4 linked regions of the Arabidopsis thaliana genome follow. The protein of the gene in region 3 interacts with the protein of the main gene of each other region in a pairwise test. Each region holds a gene or a part of one and is shown on either strand. Other genes may lie near its edges. The genes, in order: ATXR5, POLH, PCNA1 and ATXR6.

What was found.
Region 1: the proteins of PCNA1 (region 3) and ATXR5 interact in a two-hybrid assay, tested with the Arabidopsis thaliana proteins (one study listed by BioGRID).
Region 2: the proteins of PCNA1 (region 3) and POLH interact in a two-hybrid assay, tested with the Arabidopsis thaliana proteins (one study listed by BioGRID).
Region 4: the proteins of PCNA1 (region 3) and ATXR6 interact in a two-hybrid assay, tested with the Arabidopsis thaliana proteins (one study listed by BioGRID).

The regions. Positions count from the first base shown.
Region 1 is NC_003076.8:3,038,456-3,042,992, forward strand, and holds ATXR5 (TRITHORAX-RELATED PROTEIN 5), read right to left. Parts: upstream 2,707-4,537; 5' UTR 2,516-2,706; coding exon 2,161-2,515; intron 2,061-2,160; coding exon 1,980-2,060; intron 1,716-1,979; coding exon 1,486-1,715; intron 1,391-1,485; coding exon 1,290-1,390; intron 1,204-1,289; coding exon 991-1,203; intron 909-990; coding exon 749-908; 3' UTR 525-748; downstream 1-524. Other genes in the region: AT5G09780 (Transcriptional factor B3 family protein), read right to left, coding at 1-29. UniProt on the Arabidopsis thaliana protein: Histone methyltransferase that specifically monomethylates 'Lys-27' of histone H3 (H3K27me1). Has much higher activity on nucleosomes containing H3.1 than H3.3.
Region 2 is NC_003076.8:18,047,181-18,053,764, reverse strand, and holds POLH (Y-family DNA polymerase H), read left to right. Parts: upstream 1-1,868; 5' UTR 1,869-1,985; coding exon 1,986-2,061; exon of another isoform or gene 2,062-2,342; coding exon 2,343-2,463; intron 2,464-2,553; coding exon 2,554-2,665; intron 2,666-2,759; coding exon 2,760-2,930; intron 2,931-3,014; coding exon 3,015-3,179; intron 3,180-3,253; coding exon 3,254-3,357; intron 3,358-3,594; coding exon 3,595-3,714; intron 3,715-3,914; coding exon 3,915-4,038; intron 4,039-4,231; coding exon 4,232-4,345; intron 4,346-4,426; coding exon 4,427-4,642; intron 4,643-4,744; coding exon 4,745-4,844; intron 4,845-4,935; coding exon 4,936-5,066; intron 5,067-5,320; coding exon 5,321-5,440; intron 5,441-5,517; coding exon 5,518-5,862; 3' UTR 5,863-6,032; downstream 6,033-6,584. Other genes in the region: REV1 (DNA-directed DNA polymerase), read right to left, coding at 121-197, 274-389, 576-720, 930-1,096. UniProt on the Arabidopsis thaliana protein: Error-free DNA polymerase specifically involved in DNA repair. Plays an important role in translesion synthesis (TLS), where the normal high fidelity DNA polymerases cannot proceed and DNA synthesis stalls.
Region 3 is NC_003070.9:2,261,315-2,265,107, reverse strand, and holds PCNA1 (proliferating cellular nuclear antigen 1), read right to left. Parts: upstream 2,072-3,793; 5' UTR 1,905-2,071; coding exon 1,586-1,904; intron 1,394-1,585; coding exon 1,241-1,393; intron 1,158-1,240; coding exon 1,060-1,157; intron 948-1,059; coding exon 726-947; 3' UTR 555-725; downstream 1-554. Other genes in the region: AT1G07380 (Neutral/alkaline non-lysosomal ceramidase), read left to right, coding at 20-279; MAC5A (CCCH-type zinc fingerfamily protein with RNA-binding domain-containing protein), read left to right, coding at 2,313-2,417, 2,754-3,023, 3,145-3,368, 3,700-3,793. UniProt on the Arabidopsis thaliana protein: This protein is an auxiliary protein of DNA polymerase delta and is involved in the control of eukaryotic DNA replication by increasing the polymerase's processibility during elongation of the leading strand.
Region 4 is NC_003076.8:8,294,585-8,298,746, forward strand, and holds ATXR6 (TRITHORAX-RELATED PROTEIN 6), read right to left. Parts: upstream 2,576-4,162; 5' UTR 2,414-2,575; coding exon 2,155-2,413; intron 1,934-2,154; coding exon 1,850-1,933; intron 1,781-1,849; coding exon 1,551-1,780; intron 1,406-1,550; coding exon 1,305-1,405; intron 1,191-1,304; coding exon 975-1,190; intron 821-974; coding exon 661-820; 3' UTR 526-660; downstream 1-525. Other genes in the region: AT5G24340 (3'-5' exonuclease domain-containing protein), read left to right, coding at 2,744-3,112, 3,395-3,526, 3,612-4,151. UniProt on the Arabidopsis thaliana protein: Histone methyltransferase that specifically monomethylates 'Lys-27' of histone H3 (H3K27me1). Has higher activity on nucleosomes containing H3.1 than H3.3. Involved in the formation of constitutive heterochromatin and the silencing of heterochromatic elements.

The sequences.
Region 1 (4,537 bases), on a different chromosome or scaffold from region 3:
CACCAAAGAAAATCAGGGTTACTTGCCATCTCTCTCCTTTGAAATGTTCTGATTCAAGCTCTCACCTACAAGTTTTGCTCCTTCAACTTGCTCGTCTCTCTCACTCTCTATCTCCTCTCGTAATATTTTTCTCTCTGTCTTGTTGAGCCGTTGAATATGTAGCAAAGCACCACTTAAAATTTCAAAGATATGATTCAATCAAAGTGGTCAAAGTGAAAAAAGCTTTCCTCTCAATACTGAAACTGTAGTACAATTGTGACTTCATCCTTTTTGGATGTGTTCATTTAATTCATAGCATGCGATTATTATGCATAACAGATGAATCTCTTTTGGCGTTAATACATTTCGGTGACTGGAAATAAGAAGTACGACACTAGGCAAGTACTGTAATTATACTTTTCTGTTTAGGTAATGACTGTATTGGATTAGTTCTTCATTTTGATAAATTTATGAAGAAGAGTATAAAAGAAATTATAACTTATTTGGCAACCACTTAAGGTGGTGAAGTTGTCTCCAAGAACATATAAGAAAAAGGTTAGGATTTCATTTGATATCAAACAAAAGTTCAGCAATTGACATTTGCCACATCTTAATCTCTGTAATGTCATTCCAAATCCAATTATTCTACCGCTAACTTCATAATTAAAGGCCATATATTCAGCAGCCCTACATTTATAATTGACCTGTAATATGGCAACAAAAAGAACATCTGATCTAGAGACTCTGTAGAACTGTTAGAATTGAAAGATCAGAGGAAGTGATGAGTAGGATACTCATGTTCATAACCATTGTAGTCATAATAGAGCCTTTCCCCTTTCGATATATCGCGTGTAGCCACTAGAAGAACTCGACATTCGCCGTTTATGCTATACCTCACGCATTTGCAGTTCTGCTTCTTCTTAGCAACCCTGCAACAATCAGTGTGATGTGATGATTCAATGTTATAAACCAGTTTAGTGGGGGGAAAACAATTTTGAATTTGTTGCTTACGGATTGTGATTGTTAATGCCATTAATGAAGCGAGATATGTTTCCAAACTTGTCTGGACAGATAACAAGAGTCTTTGAAGGATCTTCTGATAAAAGGAGAGTCATGATGCTGTCACAATCGTCTTTTTCTCGGTTTTTCAAGTAATCAACATCCCCTGTATATTCAGCTATGAATGTTAAGTCCTTAATAGGACCATCTGCTTCAACTGTGTAACTGTACAAACGGAATAACCAAAGAACATGTTTACAACTCCACTTTGTCATTATGGGAAGGTTGATCGAAGGAATAGAGAGAGATACCCTTCAAGCGGATCAAATACCACAACGAGAGGAGGGCATTCTCCTCGTCTATACATAGATTGACATTGTTCCAATGTCTCTAAATCTTCTTTGCATAGCACCTGCGAAAAGTAAAAACCGAGATAAACAATCAAGGAAGTAACTTAAAATAAGAGAGTTATGGATAAATGGCTGAAAGATTGTTTTTGTTTATTACCTGCATCCCACCTTTCTCTAACTTGGATTGATTTGCAGACCGAGGAGCCATTCCGGGAACATAATTTAAACCATCGCTGTATTTGATACCCAATGCCGTTAATGCAGAAGCAAGTGTTCCCATTTGTGCAAGCCTCTGATCAGGATCTTCTGATGGAACCAAAGGTAAGAGTTTTCTCCTTCTTTTCTTCACTGTCAAAGAGCAAGATCGTCTCCGCTTTCTAGTTTCTTCTTCAAAACAAAGAAATCTCAATCTCAAACACTTGTTATTAGTTTAATCCTGAAGCATCTATGATCTATGTATATGATATGTATAAGTTCTCATCAATGCTTATTAACCCTACATAAGGTGCAACAAAATTTCAAGCATATAATAGGCCAAAGTTAAGCTATTTCATATTCATCTAACTATTTAATCAAGTGAAACATCTCGTCAGATTCATCAACTCAAGAACTTTATGATCATATCATGAAATCCAAAAACAAAAATCGCACCTTGACTCAATTCCAATTTGTCTGTTTGATGAGTATGCTTCTCAATCCGAAAGAAATGTAAAATCTTCTTCTGAGATAACCCTAAACATTTCACCGGACAAGAGAAAAATCCATTTTTTTATTAAACAAAGAACACAAGAAAATTAGGAAATTTAAAAGCGAAGAAACAAAAAATCCATACTTCTTACAGGTCGTTGGTCGGAACAATCGACACAAAGCCAAGTTCCAATGGGGACACGAACAACAATGGGTCTAAGGCATTTCATGTGAAAGCCTCTATCGCATTTGTCACAGAGAAGAAGCTCATCGTCTCCTTCTCCAGAACCACATTTCTCGCAGGTGACGTTACTGTAGCTGTCTTCGTCTTCTTCTTCTTCTTGTTCAACCACAGGGACAGATTTCGCCATTATCTCAGCCATTGATTTCATCTTCCTCGGTGGTGGAGATTCGGAGGAAGGGCGTCTCGCTGGAGCTTTCGTTCGTCGCCTCGATGAGCAAGGAGACGCCGCAGGGGAGGATGCGTTCCATGTGGCCATGACGGAAGCTCACGACGAAGAGTCGCCGGAGAACGGGATATATGATTTTGATTGGTTGGGGCTAATGTGCACCGCCGCGTGTGCGCACGAAAACTGATGTGCGCATCACCTGGAGTGTAATTTGGGATTCTTCCTTTGAGACTCTTCTTTATCGGCTCTTTTGTTTTTTTGACCTTTGACAAATTCAAAATTACTGGTATGTCTTAAAAGGTTTAAACATTGTAAGTGATACTAATAAATTTACAACCATTAAAGCCTTTTAATTGTTACTAAATTTCTTAACTAAATTTTACTTATTTAATTTACTAGGGATTGATATAAAAATTAATACAGTATTAACTATACTATACAAACGTAATTACAAAAATAGATATCTTTCAATTGAAAAAAAATATATGTTGGTGGGCTCAATACAAACACAGTAAACGTCAATTTCGTCAACTGAGCCACCCCAACGCCAAGCCCAACAGTCGGTCCGCCTCATTGGAGGCTCAAGTTCTTTATTTGACAAGCTAAACCAAAGTGTTCTGGTTTGACCAACAATGTAATATTACATAAATCTGAATCTATAAAATACAAAATTTAATAAATTATGTCTTATGGTTTAACATAATTTTCTGTTTCCGATTTAAGAATTTTTCGCCATATTGATTTTCATAATTTTATATACATATATAATATCTTTCAATTGTAAATTTTTATCTTATAATTTTATATATGAATAGTTTTCTCTATTTTTTTCAAGGTTTTTAATTAATAAGAAATTGCGGTGTTAGCGTTAATGAAATAGTTATGGTATAGACTATAAAGAATAATATACATAATTGGAACAAGTGAAATGGTTGTTTGATATATTCTTGACGATGAGAGCAAAACTTTCTTATCATATTTTCTGAACCGGGGTGTATGCTAGGTAATTTTGTGGCTAAGTCCTTTATTAAGGTTGTTGCACTTCTTCACAAGGATGAAAACTTAAGTCTTGCATCGGTGGATGCTTCAAGATATTCATATATGCTCGCCATGTAAGTTTTGCTTATACTAATACTGTTTAAGTCATAGTATTCCAAAAAAATCAAAGAAATAAGACTATTACTGGTCCATCACAATGGATTCCCTTCGAGAAGCCCGCATCGATCTTTCTATGCCTTATGAGTTTTGTCCCTATGAATATGAGGAATATGAAAAACATTCTTGACCTTGCTTCTACTACCGTTAAAGTATGATGTCTCTCTCTTCTCCATGTATCTTGTTACATTCATGCTTGACCAATTTGTTTGTGTTTCATTCATGACCAGTTTGCTTGTGTGTTGTAGATGATGCGTCATTGCTTCGATTATTGGCGTAGTAATGAATTTCCCTTGTTTAAAAACCTTGTTAAACTATCGTTTGAGTCTAAGACGAAAAAAGGTTGGAAAGTTCTTTGGACTCTGATAAAAAGCTCTCCCAATCTAGAAACTTTGATCCTCAAGGTTTGTATGTATAATATGATCTCTTTTTCTCTTTCTCAATTATAAATTTAATCTCGGAGTTTCACTTACTGTGTGTTCTTTTCTTTTCTATCCGTTGTTTCAGGGTTTTCAGTGTGTAAGTACTTGTGGGTATAGCATTGATGGAAATACGTTGAAGGTGTTGGAGTTATACGGGTGTAGAGGGAATCTTAGAGAAGTCGAACAAGTGAGGCTGTTCTGTCGGAAAGTGAATTTCTTCAAGTAATGAAAGTGGAAATTGGTACTAAGGTTGATGTTGACAAGAAATTGCAACTCACCAAAGACCTCCTTCCTTATCCTAACGTTCCTCCAAATGCCAAATCCACTTCTTGTAATCTTTTAAATCCAATTTTGTTTTTGACTGCTCAATCAATCAAGATTCAGTTTGTTTTAGATACAAAGACAACATCTCCCTTGATAGAGCATATTGATAGCTTTACTTTTAATACGATTTTGCCAAGTCCAAACATAAAATTCTGGTTTAGAGTATCAACATTGCAATGATACTAGTACTAAAGAACATTGCAATTTATTC
Region 2 (6,584 bases), on a different chromosome or scaffold from region 3:
AGATTGTGTGCAAGATAAATGAATGCATACGAAGTTGACAGTAGACAATGATCAAATCCAAACATTTATACTTATGTCTACATGATTTAACTGAAACTAAATCATCTTGTATAGACTTACAGCCCAGAAGTCTGTTGGCAGAGATAGAGTCCACTATCCATGTAGGTTTCACAACAGGTAATCCTCTGCTGAATGTCCTGATTGGAAACAAAAATCCATTATAAGACACGAACTTGCAAGAAATTAGCGAAGAATTTTAAAGAAACAACTAACCTAAGATTCTTGACTTTACTATCTGGAAGGTTGCTGCAAATGATATGTGTAACAGAACGCCTAGAAAAGTAGTTCTCAAATCTTCCACCATACTTCATCATGTATCCTTTCAACTCCTACACAGATCTAGACACTGTTAAATCACATATAACCCACCAGCAAAACTGCACTACAACAAATTCTAAGGTTTATTCACCTGCAACAGTTTGTACGATATAAGAGTTAAGCCATTTCAAATCAGGAAAGAACTAGAAACCAACAAAATTGAAAATGGGTAGAAACCAAAGCAATAGAGCTTAAACCTGATGAGAAGGAATAGTGAACCCATCCACAAAGATTGAAACCCCTTGGAAAATAAGTTTCTCAGAACCCGAAACACCACGAGAAGCAGCAGAAGCCTCAGTCTCAAATTGGTTCTGAAGTTTCCTATTTTTCACTTCCATGTAACTAACATCAAAAACATAAAAAAAATAATCAACAACCACGATAGTATAACAATGCTTAACGCATCTTACTTCATTCTAACTTCATAAAATTTCCAAAATTCAATCTTTCTCAGAACATCACTTTTCAGAGGGAAAGTTTCAACTTTTACATGGGAATTTCAAAATCTAACCACTACCCAACACTAAAATGGCAGAGAATGATAGAAAGACCTTCCGAAATCGGAGAAAGGAGAAGACCGGAAAGAAGAACGAGAAGAAGCAGCGCCCCATGCCGCGCCTAGGGTTTTCTGATTGCTCGGATTATTATTCTTCTTAGACTTCTTGTTACTTCCACTGCCACTATTGTTTGAAGAATTTGAACCCAAGCTACGCTTCATTGTTGTTGTTGGGGAGGAATCTCAACGAGACGGAGAAGAAGAAGCATTCAACGAAATTTTCCAATTTGTAAAGTCACAACCTGTGAGTGGTTTATATACTAAAACACAAACATTTTCAGATTAGTACTTAAACTTGTATATACTTCCAAAAATCCCCATAAGTTTTAATTTTTACAGTTATAATTTAATACCTAATTTTTTTATTTTATTTTTGTAATCATAAACATAATTGAGAGAAAATTGTTTTTCTTGAATCCAAATCTTTAGTTAGTGAAGATTATCTAGCCAAATTTAATGAGCAATAAAAATCGACATTTCACAATAATAGTGAAATTAATAATAGTAGTGAACAAATAGTAATGGATGAAAAAAACATGACCCATATTATTTTTATGATTGTTTTATATAAATAAAAATAAACTCAATAAAAATTTTATGTAATGAATAAATATTAAATATTTTATCTATACTTTTTGTTTATCTACCGAACGATCAACCATAATTCGAAAGATGCAGCTTGATGTCCATAATTTTGTTACCACACTAAATCTCTAAAAACAACAATGTCAATCTTCAACCTATTTTTACAAATAATTTGACACGGCAAATTTGGAGAAATATTTAGGGTTTGAGATCATTACAATGAATTTCATGTTTTGTTGTCAAATTACTTGTGTTCTAAACGGGTTATTTTGCAAAGTTTAGTTTCTTTGAGGGTTCGTTTTGAAACTTTCTCATTTTATTAATCTGTCTCGCTTTTTCTCCTAATTATTATTTTCGCGCGCTATTCATCAGTCATCATCCCCAAGAAACCCCTCTTTCGGTGGTAAAAACTCTCTCTCTCTCTCTCTCTCTCCCTCTGATTTCTGCGGAGATTTCTGAAATAGAAATGCCGGTAGCGAGACCGGAAGCATCGGATGCTAGAGTTATCGCTCATGTCGACATGGATTGCTTCTACGTTCAAGGTCCTTCTCTCTCTAACCCGAATTGTATTCAGCCACTAGACGCTTTAGTGAGAGAAAGCAAAGCTTTTTAACACTTTTTTTGAACTTTTTAGCTTTGTTGGAATTTTGGGTTTCAATCGAATTTTAATAACGGTTTCTTTTCTTTTTTTTTCTCGTTGGCGTTTGTTTTAGGGATTTGGGAAATTACCAAATACCAAAAAGTGTGCTTTTTTGTTTCTATTTTATCAAAATGTCTCCTTTACTTACCTGGTTAAGGGATTTTTTTATGAGTGAGTGATTAGTGGAGCAGAGGAAGCAACCGGAGTTGCGAGGACTGCCTAGTGCAGTTGTACAGTACAATGAATGGCAAGGTGGTGGTTTGATTGCTGTTAGTTACGAAGCACGTAAATGTGGCGTAAAGCGGTTAGTGTGTAATTACAGAAATGCTTCTTTCCCCCAATTGTATCAATCTTTTGAGGATAGGGAAAAATTGTGTTTTGGGTTAATGTTCAGGTCGATGAGAGGTGATGAGGCTAAAGCTGCTTGTCCTCAGATTCAATTGGTTCAAGTTCCTGTGGCTCGTGGTAAAGCTGACCTTAATTTATATCGCAGTGCCGGTTCTGAGGTTGATGGAAGTGGAAGTTATTATTATACTGTTTGTGTTTGTCTAAACAATGACATTTGCTAAATTCATCTCATTCTATGTGTTGTCGCTGCAGGTGGTTTCGATTCTAGCAAAAAGCGGAAAATGTGAGAGGGCTTCGATTGATGAAGTGTATCTTGACCTCACTGATGCAGCAGAAAGCATGCTTGCTGATGCACCTCCAGAGAGTTTGGAATTGATAGATGAGGAAGTTCTTAAATCCCATATTCTTGGAATGAACAGAGAGGTCTGTTTTGGTGTCTTTTAGTCTCCAACAAAAGTATAGTCGATAGTCAATATTATGATCTGAATTTATTTATTTTACTTTCAGGATGGAGATGATTTCAAGGAGAGTGTCCGCAATTGGATTTGTCGAGAAGATGCTGATCGACGTGATAAGTTATTAAGTTGTGGAATTATCATTGTTGCAGAACTCCGGAAACAGGTGCTTAAGGAGACTGAGTTTACTTGTTCTGCTGGCATAGCCCATAACAAGGCAAGAAGCTATTTTATTTTGTTTTCCTTTTATCGCTTGTATGGCGAGTAATAACATATAACTTCAACAAGCAGATGCTAGCCAAACTTGCTAGTGGAATGAACAAACCTGCGCAGCAGACAGTTGTACCATATGCAGCTGTACAGGAATTACTAAGTTCCTTGCCAATAAAGAAAATGTAAGTAAGTTTCAATAGTGTATTGATCACAACACATATTTTCGTAGGAGAACTTTTAGTATTTGTCACATTCTACGGAATACACTTAAATATTTGCGTCAGTATCAACACAGCTGTGTTTTATAAGATGTAAGACAGTCCAAAGTTGTGTATTGCATCTTTTATCGCTGTCCCAGGATCATAAAATTTTCAGTTAGTGCTGGTAATCATTGAGCTCTAATTAGACATAACGTGCAGGAAACAACTGGGAGGAAAGCTGGGCACTAGCTTGCAAACTGACTTGGGAGTTGACACAGTAGGGGACTTGCTGCAATTTTCTGAAACGAAGCTACAAGAACATTACGGAGTAAATACTGGGTAATAGCTTTGGAAAAGATAGAATTTTTGTTGTCCTGGACTCGTAGGCTATTGTAGATTGTTCATTATTTGATTAGTACCTTCTAGCATACTAAATTCCCAATAGTTGCTTATTTGCTTGATAATAGAAATTTAAAGACATGCAACTCGTGCTTGTTTGTCTATTAATACGTTTTTCTGATTTTTCCCCCGACTTGTAGTACTTGGTTATGGAATATAGCAAGAGGGATCAGTGGAGAAGAAGTGCAAGGTCGCCTTCTCCCCAAAAGTCATGGTTCTGGAAAGACATTTCCCGGACCTCGTGCTTTGAAGTCACTCTCAACTGTAAGAGTAGAATCTCAACAATGCACTTCTTTTCCCTTTGCTATCAGTTGCTCTAGTTGATAGGTCATAACTGAAAGTGCTTATAGAGGTGAAACGTTTTGGAAAAATAGTAGCAAAAGTATCCCCTTTTTATCTTCAATCATATCATAGAACTAGTTTTTAGAATAAGTGTTGTGTTCTCTTATATTTCTAGGTTCAGCATTGGCTGAATCAGCTTTCCGAGGAACTAAGCGAGCGCCTCGGTTCTGACTTGGAGCAGAATAAGCGGATTGCAAGCACCCTTACCCTTCATGCTAGCGCTTTCAGAGTACCTACTTCTCTTGTTATATATCATTTTTCTCTGCGAAGACTACGACTTAAAACATATTTTTCCTGAAAAATATTGCAGTCAAAGGATTCAGATTCTCATAAGAAATTTCCTTCAAAATCATGTCCTATGAGATATGGAGTAACCAAGATCCAAGAAGATGCCTTTAACTTGTTCCAAGCTGCCTTACGTGAGTACATGGGATCCTTCGGGATCAAACCTCAAGGAAATAAGCTAGAGACATGGAGGATAACAGGTCTTTCTGTTTCAGCGAGTAAAATTGTTGATATACCATCTGTAAGTTCTTAGAGCCATTAAATGTCTTCTACTTACTTATCTCTTTCAAACATTGGTTGGTTTCTTCACTGATTTGGTAGGAGTGATATCTTATTACTGTAGGGAACAAGCTCGATCATGAGATATTTTCAAAGTCAACCTACTGTTCCTTCTCGTTCAGCAGATGGTTGTGTTCAAGGAAATGTAGCGATGACTGCTTCAGGTATTCTAGAGTATTTCTGTATATTTTCAGAACTTTCTACTTCTCTTGATTCTGGTACTTAATGTCGTGATCTAATCTGCAACTGGTGCAGCTAGCGAAGGATGTTCAGAACAGAGGTCAACAGAAACTCAAGCAGCAATGCCTGAAGTAGACACCGGTGTAACTTATACTTTGCCTAATTTTGAAAACCAAGATAAAGACATTGATCTAGTCTCCGAAAAGGTATCAGCTCTCATTTCCCTTTACTCTAAAGCATATTTTAGGCCTTTCTTAGAGGTGTGATCTAGCAAAAAGGCTAAACATATTTAGGCTCAATTACGTTCTCAGTTTCAACTTTCAAAGGAGCTTCTTTAGTAATTATAACTGGTAACGAAGTGATTGGTTAGGCCCTGTAGTGTTTGAATGACTCAAGAGCTTATATATATGTTCTTAAATTGTGTATCCTTGAAGAACCAATTCCACACATTCCTTGTCAGGATGTTGTCTCTTGTCCATCAAACGAAGCAACGGATGTTTCTACCCAATCAGAATCAAACAAAGGCACACAGACAAAGAAAATTGGGCGGAAGATGAACAACTCGAAAGAAAAGAATCGGGTACGCAATATATTGCTTTGTTTGGTGCACGAAAAGCTTCTACCTTTACTGAGATTTGTTTGCTTGTTTGTTCTCAGGGAATGCCTTCAATTGTCGATATCTTTAAGAATTACAATGCAACACCTCCATCAAAACAAGAGACTCAAGAAGATTCCACAGTGTCATCAGCCAGTAAAAGAGCAAAGTTAAGTAGCAGCAGCCATAATAGTCAAGTGAATCAAGAGGTAGAAGAGAGTAGAGAAACAGATTGGGGATATAAGACTGATGAAATCGATCAGTCAGTTTTCGATGAATTACCGGTTGAGATTCAACGAGAACTCAGGAGTTTCCTACGCACCAATAAGCAGTTTAACACCGGTAAAAGCAAAGGTGATGGTTCTACTTCAAGCATTGCTCATTATTTTCCACCATTGAATAGATAGATCTAAGCTCCTTTGTCTCTGTTGTTGACTGTATATAGTGTAGTCCTTGTCTACCTTAGATTTGGTCTTGTATCTTGAGTACTACAGATATATTATGCTTAAATCCTATTAAAAATGTCATTTTTGAGCAATAGAAAAACTAAATATATATATATCGTCTTTAAAATCCATCGAGACCTCTTGTTTTTTATGGTATGCACAGTGATAGAAGGGTTTTTTTTTTTTTTTGGTAAACATGTGAAGAAGTGATAGAAGGTTTATCAGAAGTTTGTATATCTTTGCTCAACCACGGAATCTCATGAAATATTCAAACATCCTACCTAATTGCTCTAGTTTCTCTAGTATGAGTTCTTTTTGGATCAATTCTATATCAAACGATTACATTTTATTTTCAAAAGTCAAATCAATCGAAATGTTAATTACAACTTCGCCTAAATATGACTTTTTTCTTAACTAACTTATTTTTCATCCTACTTTCTAGAATAGAATTCTCTAATATTAATTGACCTAACATAAGTTTTTTTTTTGGTAAGGAGGATTTTTTTTTTTGGTAAGGTTGAACTACCATAAGTTTGTTTGCTATCAAAACATTTTTACTTCATTTTGAGCGTAAAAACGGTAAAAAAGAAAACACAAAATTCGAAAACCTGAAACCGTTTTTGGGGTTAGGACAATACTGCAGGCCACTGTCATGCCATCCAATGGGTTTACTTTTTATTATT
Region 3 (3,793 bases):
GATACTATGTTCATGACAGGGACGTTTACACTGGTGGAGAGACTAGAGCAGAAGGACAAGACTTGGACCCCGGTTTATGACGACGATGATCTATGTCTGAGGTTCAAGTGGTCGAGGCATAAAAAGCTGAGCTCCCGGAGTCAGGCCACTGTGGAATGGAGAATTCCCGAGTCTGCATCACCAGGGGTTTATAGGATCACCCATTTTGGTGCTGCAAAGAAGCTTTTTGGGTCAGTCCATCATTTCACAGGCTCTTCTAGTGCTTTCGTTGTAACATAAACAAGTAGAAACCAAAGTAGATACATAGTAAACTTGTATTATACTAGGTTTACCTGATGCACTGTCTTGTGCACTTGCATGTACTACACAAATGTAGCCAGAGAGTACAGAATGGTGTCAAAGAACTGATGTTGAGAAGTCTAATGGAATCCAATATACCTTTTCATGTCAATGTTCACATACAGTTTAAGTATCCAGGTATAGGCAACTACGGTTGTGTTAGTGTATAAATTATCTTGCAAAGTGGAGTTAGTTTGTTGATGAATGGTCATAGTTTCAAGACAACTAATTTTGCTGAACTTTGTTATCATAAAACATAATAAGTCAAGAAAACAACTGATTCTAGAGGGGGGATACAAAGGAATCTCACCAAAAAAAAACACCAACATTGTCAATAAATCTTCAACATTTTAGAATGAAGAGAAATTGTGGATATAAAAGGGGTCTTAGGGATTAGTGTCTTCTTCTTCTTCAATCTTAGGAGCCAAGTAGTAACGAATGTAACCCATCTCAGCAACCTTATACTCCACAACCACTGGCAACTCCGACGATAAGCTGATTGTCACTGTGTCTGACAATGGAGTTGCCTTTGTGAAGGAATTCATGTACCTCAGGGCAAATGAGAGAGACACTGGCTCCTTCATCTCTATCACAATTGCATCTTCCGGCTGCAATACACAAAACAAAAGCCTCAATTTAACATGTTACTCCAATGAAACAGCCGTAGAGGATTTGTCAACAGTATCATAGGTTTATGCAAAGAGTTAGACATGTTAATACCTTGTCTACAGTTGTGTTCTGCCTGAGCACAATGTTAGCGGTTCCAATGTCACCGGCAGTAGAAAACTTCACGCCTTCTTTAGTCACAGAGATCACAACTGCAACAATAACATCAGGTCAATCTCTATTTAGACTAAAAAAAACAACCCAGATTGAGAATAGAAACAATGCAGCAATGTACCTGTGTCACCAATGCTACTGAGATCTTTGCAAATCCTGGAAAACTCATTGGAAGGCATCCTCACGATTGAGTGGTACTCAGCATCAGGTATTCCCAGATGTTCACTGTCTATATCCATCAACTTCATCTCAAAATCAGCAATCTTGTCTTGCGCTGTAAATCATCCAACACAAAACCAAGTTAAAAGCAGCTAGGTCTAAACCAAGTTTTTGAAACTTGAAACTATATACAACCCCTAAGAGAACTAAATCATTCTATTCCATCAATCATTCCACCATTTCGTACAAGCTTAACCCATAGAAACCAGAAATTAGAGTAAGTCAGTCAATTAGCAAATAAACTTACTGGGGCTCTCAAACATGAAGGTAACGGTGTCGCCGCCGTCATCAGCCTTGATGGTGATGATGTCATCATTTCCGGCGCATTTGAGCATCTTCGACATGTTGCCGAGATTCATCCCCATGGAGAGATTCCTGTCGCATCTGTAGTGTTCGAAGCCTTCGGATCTTAGCAAGAGAGACACCAGAGCAACGTGACTCGAATCCATAGCTTGGAGTGAGAACCCAGTGCTGGAGCAGTCGAAATTCGCATCGTTCACCAGATCTTTGATTGATTCTAGAACCTTCTTCAACAACGAGCCCTGAACAAGACGTAGCTCCAACATTTCGTCGTCTTAGATATTATCAGAGTTCACAATGAGAATCGTTTGCGGCTATTTTGGAAAGTGGATTGACACTATAAGGTCAAGGAGTCCGATTTATAAGCTTTTTCTTTTCTGGCGGGATTTCGCCATTCTAAGCTATTTGGTTCCCGCCAATGCGCTAGTGCCGGCCTCAATCGTTTTAAGAATTGGATGGATATTTTTGGTCATTATAAAAGTTAGAGGGTTAATTTGTATTAATAAAAAGAAGAAAAGTTCATTTCGAATTGTAGTGAAAGTTTAGGGTTTTATTTGTAATATTTAAAAGACAAAAACACGCGAATCCAAAACCGACTTTGCCCTAGTTAAAATCTCGTCGTCTCCTTCGTGTTCGAGATTTGATATCGACTAATCGAATCAGAGGATAAGAGAATGGCTCACAGAATACTGAGAGATCATGAAGCCGATGGATGGGAACGCTCCGATTTCCCAATCATCTGCGAATCTTGTCTCGGTGACAACCCCTACGTGCGAATGGTGATTTCTCGATTCCTTCTCTCAAACATTCTTGGATTTTGCTATTGCTTGTTTTGTTTCAATGGCTCCTGAATCTTATTTCCGGATCTCATCTCTTAACCAGTCTCTTGCTCGTTGATGTTTTCTGTATATTGGAGTGGTTAACTTAGTAAATATGGTTTTAGGGTTTAGCTTGTTATCAAATTCATCGAAAAATTGGGTTTTACATCCAAATTCGTTTAGTTATAGTTGGATTTGATTACAGCTGCGGATTCTCTTAGCTTTCAGCTGCAATTTTGTTTTCTGAAAATCTCGATGTTTTGATTTCTGATTGACGTTTTATCTGTTGATATGTAGACCAAAGCGAATTATGATAAGGAATGCAAGATATGTACACGACCTTTCACGGTGTTTAGGTGGCGACCTGGCCGGGATGCTAGATACAAGAAAACCGAAATTTGTCAGACTTGCTGCAAGTTGAAAAATGTTTGTCAAGTCTGTCTTCTGGATCTTGAGTATGGTCTTCCAGTTCAAGTAAGAGACACAGCACTCAACATTAGTACTCATGACTCTATCCCTAAAAGTGATGTCAACAGAGAGTATTTTGCTGAAGAGCATGACAGGAAGGTATGATCATGTTCACACTCACGATTTTATTTCAGCATTTGTTGGTTTGAGAATTTTGAAGACTTACTCTAGCTTTCTCATGGTGGCTTATCTAAGTGATTTTGCTTTTTCTGTTATGTAGGCTAGAGCTGGACTGGATTATGAATCTTCATTCGGGAAGATGCGACCCAATGATACTATTTTAAAGCTTCAAAGAACAACACCGTACTATAAGAGGAACCGAGCACATGTTTGTAGTTTCTTCATCAGGGGTGAGTGTACAAGAGGTGCTGAATGTCCATACCGGCATGAGATGCCCGAAACAGGAGAGCTATCCCAGCAAAACATAAAAGACCGTTATTATGGGTAAGCTTTTTTCTTCTGTATGTTTGACTTTGTTGACGTTTAGTTCCGTTCTTTATTGGTTGTTTCGATACCTCCCCTAAGGAGTGTAAAATTTCATATGTTTCTGCCATAGTACTATTTTCTCCTTGATCATTCATAATATACTCGATATTTGAAAGCTTCTGATATGTGAATTCTTGGACTGAACTATGCTATGTTGGCTCTCATGTAGTCTTGTTACATAGTGTCGTTTCCAGTTTTAGTTCTCTTTGTAATGTATTAGTACTTTTGCATTTATTCTTGTTGAAGAGTTTGTTTTAACTGTTTCTCATTTTCTTTTACACGTTTTCAGTGTTAATGATCCAGTTGCTATGAAGTTGCTTGGCAAAGCTGGTGAGATGGGCACTTTGGAATCGCCAGACGATGAAAGCATCAAAACCCTTTAC
Region 4 (4,162 bases), on a different chromosome or scaffold from region 3:
AGGCGTATGTTAAGAGATCCAAGGTTTATCTATGCTTCCTACGTCAAATTGATACTTAGTAATCAATTTTAATATGATATGTCCGCTCCCGTAGCCAAATTTATAATATCCTGATGGAGAGCTAAAAGATGAAAGATAAAATGTTCAATAAATCAATGTCGAGATATTTATCAAATTGTCTCTTAGGTATGTACGATGCATTAAAATTGAATAAATTTGTTGGAGAATGCAAAAAAAGATGAAAAATGGTAAGTGTGGGATCCAAAAGGAAGTTTATGTCCCACAGTGATCTGAAGGAATCACAAAGGAATGGTTTTTTTGATGCAAACTCTCATAGTCGCTTGAAGGTACTGTCAGACTCCTTTAGTCTTTAGGCTCTTTGGACCATTCTATTTCATTCATTATTCCTACTCTCTCTTTTCCTTACCAACAATCTTTATTTTCTTCAATTCAATTCCCATTTCTAGTGTATTTTTTACAAATAGAACATCAATTATTCCGACAAGGCTTCACATTTTGATCCAACTTGAAGTAAGGCTTTGGTTCATGGTCTAAAAGCCCAGTTAAAGCATTAGGAAGGACAAAAAACACTTTTAGGTTGTTTCTTGATGAACAAGCAACCTTTTTAATAGGTTGACCTTTCTTACGAAATTCACAGGGTTATACAAAATGTTCAGTTGGATACTCATGTTCATATCCGTTGTAATCATAATACAATCTTTCCCCTTTCGATATGTCTCTATTAGCTACGAGAAGAACCCTAGCTTCTCCGTTGATGTTGAACCTCACACACTTCAGGTTCTGCTTCTTCCTCCCTTCTCTGCAATTCACAAAATGTCAACAAATACACAATGAGGACAAGCAATACTAGAATGGTTCCAACTAATTCAGAAGCAGGACCAAAACATGGAGCTCAGGTGTTGTGACCAGAGAGTCGACTTTAAGGAACCAAATAGAAGAGAAGAGAAACTCACGGTGAGTGATTGTTGATGCCACTGATGAACCGGGCGATGTTACTGCGTCTGTCAGGGCAAATTACGAGACATTGCGAAGGATCAGAGGCATGAAGTAGAGTCATCATACTGTCTCCATCATAGTCATCTTCTCTATTGCTCAGATAATCAACATCTCCAACATACTCTGTGATAATTGTCCAGTCTTTTATAAACCTGTCCGCCTCTACTGTGAACCTGTTCAGATAGAAAAAATTAGACTTCAATATAATTATACATTGATAAATGCATTTTCCTACTCTCTTCTTGGTTATAAAGGTCAAAAGAGAAGCTAATAAGAATGTTAAGTACCCTTCATAAGGATCGAAGACGACCATAAGTGGCGGGCATTCACCGAGGTCCATCATTTTCTTGCACAAGGCTAAGGTCTCTACGCCTTCTTTAGATAGAACCTGTATGAAATTAAATACAAAATCAACTTTTCTGTTGATACTTAACCCAACAATGAATGCTTTCAAGAAACCTAAGAATCACCAAACCAATCATATAGATGTGACTGAAGAACAAGAGCAATACATATCAACTTAAGATAGATACCTGCATGCCTCCTTTCTCAAAAGCAGCTTGGTTTGCAGATCTTGGAGCCTTTCCAGATACATAAGTAAGCTCATTGCTGAACTTGGTGTTGGAAGCTCTCAACGCAGTGGCCAGAGACGCCATTTGCTCTAGCCTCCTTTGAGGATCATTGCTAGGATTGTATGGAAGAAGCCTTCTCTTCTTCTTTGACATCACCAAGCTAGTCTTTTTCCGTTTCTTCCCAATACTATCTGCAAACATTTCACTATTCAGATTAATATTTCTAGGGATTTAGATTTCTAATCTGCAAAATTACATACCTGAAGAACTTGAGATTTGAGATGAATCTGGAGACCGCTTAATCCGGAAGAAATCTATAATTTTAGTCTGAATAAGAGGGAAAGCTGCAGATTTACAAAACTTTTCATTAGTAATTCAGCAACAGTGTAATCCAAAACCTGATCTAGTAGTGTTAAATCTGAATCAAATTCGCAAAATCAAATCAAAGACAGAGATCAAGAAACCCAGAAGAATCCTAAAATCTAAAGCTCAACAATAAACATATCCTAATCAAAAGAAGGAAGCTTTGAAATTAGAGTCATGTGGGTATAGTGAAAAAGCTTACATTTAGGGATCTGATGTTTGGAACAAGAAGGGCAGAACCAAGAGCCTTTGGGAACTGAAACGAGGATCGGTCTGAGACAGAAAAGATGAAACCCTTTATCGCATTTGTCGCAAAGAAGCAGCTTTGCTGGTTGTTTACCGGAACTGCATTCTTCGCAGACTGTATCCCAATCGGAATCGGAATCATGATCCGACATGTGTTGCGGTGGTTCGGATCTAGGGTTTGACGCTTGTGTTCTCCTTCGCCTCACAGCCACCATTCTTACACTTATTGATTTACCAGAGAAAGAGAGAGAGTGAGAGATTATAAATGTGAGATCTAGCCGAGGTTGAGTAGAAGAGTTCGCGCTCTGGATTCACCGGATTTTCCCGGGGAATTTTAATTTGGCGCCACTGTTACGGTTTCCCGATTTGCAGACTGGTTTATTTTGGTTTTATCTAACCGATTTTGAGAAATTAGGATTAGATCGGTTCATATATTTTGGTTGTTCGGTTCGGTTCAATTTGATTATCCCACCGGACAAACCAAAACCGACATAAGACTCTCCTTCAATGTAACTTTCAACTAAATTGATTTTGCTCTTTGAACGATGGAGACCAATCTAAAGATCTATCTAGTTTCATCCACCGACTCGTCCGAGTTCACTCACCTGAAATGGTCTTTCACTCGTTCTACGATCATCGCCTTAGACGCCGAATGGAAGCCACAACACTCCAATACGTCGTCGTTTCCGACCGTCACTCTCCTCCAAGTCGCATGCCGACTCAGTCACGCCACGGATGTCTCCGATGTCTTCCTCATTGATTTGAGTTCGATTCATCTTCCATCGGTTTGGGAGCTGTTGAATGATATGTTCGTGTCGCCGGATGTTCTGAAACTAGGGTTTCGGTTTAAACAGGATTTGGTTTACTTGTCTTCGACATTTACTCAACATGGATGTGAAGGTGGATTCCAAGAGGTGATTTGCTTTTGAAAGTCTTGAACTTTGCTTCGTAGTGTTAGTTTAAGCTAATTGTAGTCGAATTCTTATCAAAGTTTTAACCTTTAGCTCTGTTATATTCTCTTGTACTTAAAGTTCTTGTGTTTGGATCACGTGTGGTGTTTATAGATAGGTAAGTATTGATTTGTGTGTTTATTGACTTCTGTTGAAAGTAGATTGTTGAATTGTGTTTTTCTTTTATTTGCCTTTTTAGGTTATGTTGCTTTAAAACTCTATGTTTGTGATTGTTGATGTGAATAGGTGAAACAATACTTGGATATTACAAGCATATACAATTATCTGCAACATAAGCGGTTTGGGAGAAAGGCGCCAAAGGATATCAAGAGCTTGGCTGCTATATGTAAGGAAATGCTGGACATCTCTCTCTCAAAGGTTTGTCAATGATTCCTGCAAGAATTTGACTTTTCGTGAAACGTACTGTTAATAAGGCTTTTCTTAACAGGTTTTTATTCTTTAGGAACTTCAATGTAGTGATTGGTCATATCGTCCTCTTACAGAAGAACAGAAACTATACGCTGCCACAGATGCTCACTGCCTGCTCCAGATATTCGATGTATTTGAGGCGCATCTTGTTGAAGGAATCACAGTGCAAGATCTTAGAGTGATAAATGTTGGCTTACAAGAAATTCTGACTGAATCGGACTATAGCAGTAAGATTGTCACAGTCAAACTTTGCAAGGCTACAGATGTAATCAGATCAATGTCGGAAAATGGTCAAAACATAGCCAATGGAGTGGTTCCAAGAAAAACGACACTAAACACGATGCCAATGGATGAGAATTTGTTGAAGATTGTCAGGAAGTTTGGAGAACGGATCCTGTTGAAGGAGTCTGATCTTCTACCAAAGAAACTTAAGAAGAAAACAAGAAGACGTGTCGCCTCAAGCACTATGAACACAAATAAGCAGTTGGTCTGTTCTGCGGACTGGCAAGGTCCACCGCCATGGGACTCATCTTTAGGCGGTGATGGCTGCCCTAAATTTCTATTGGATGTGATGGTATTTGAATC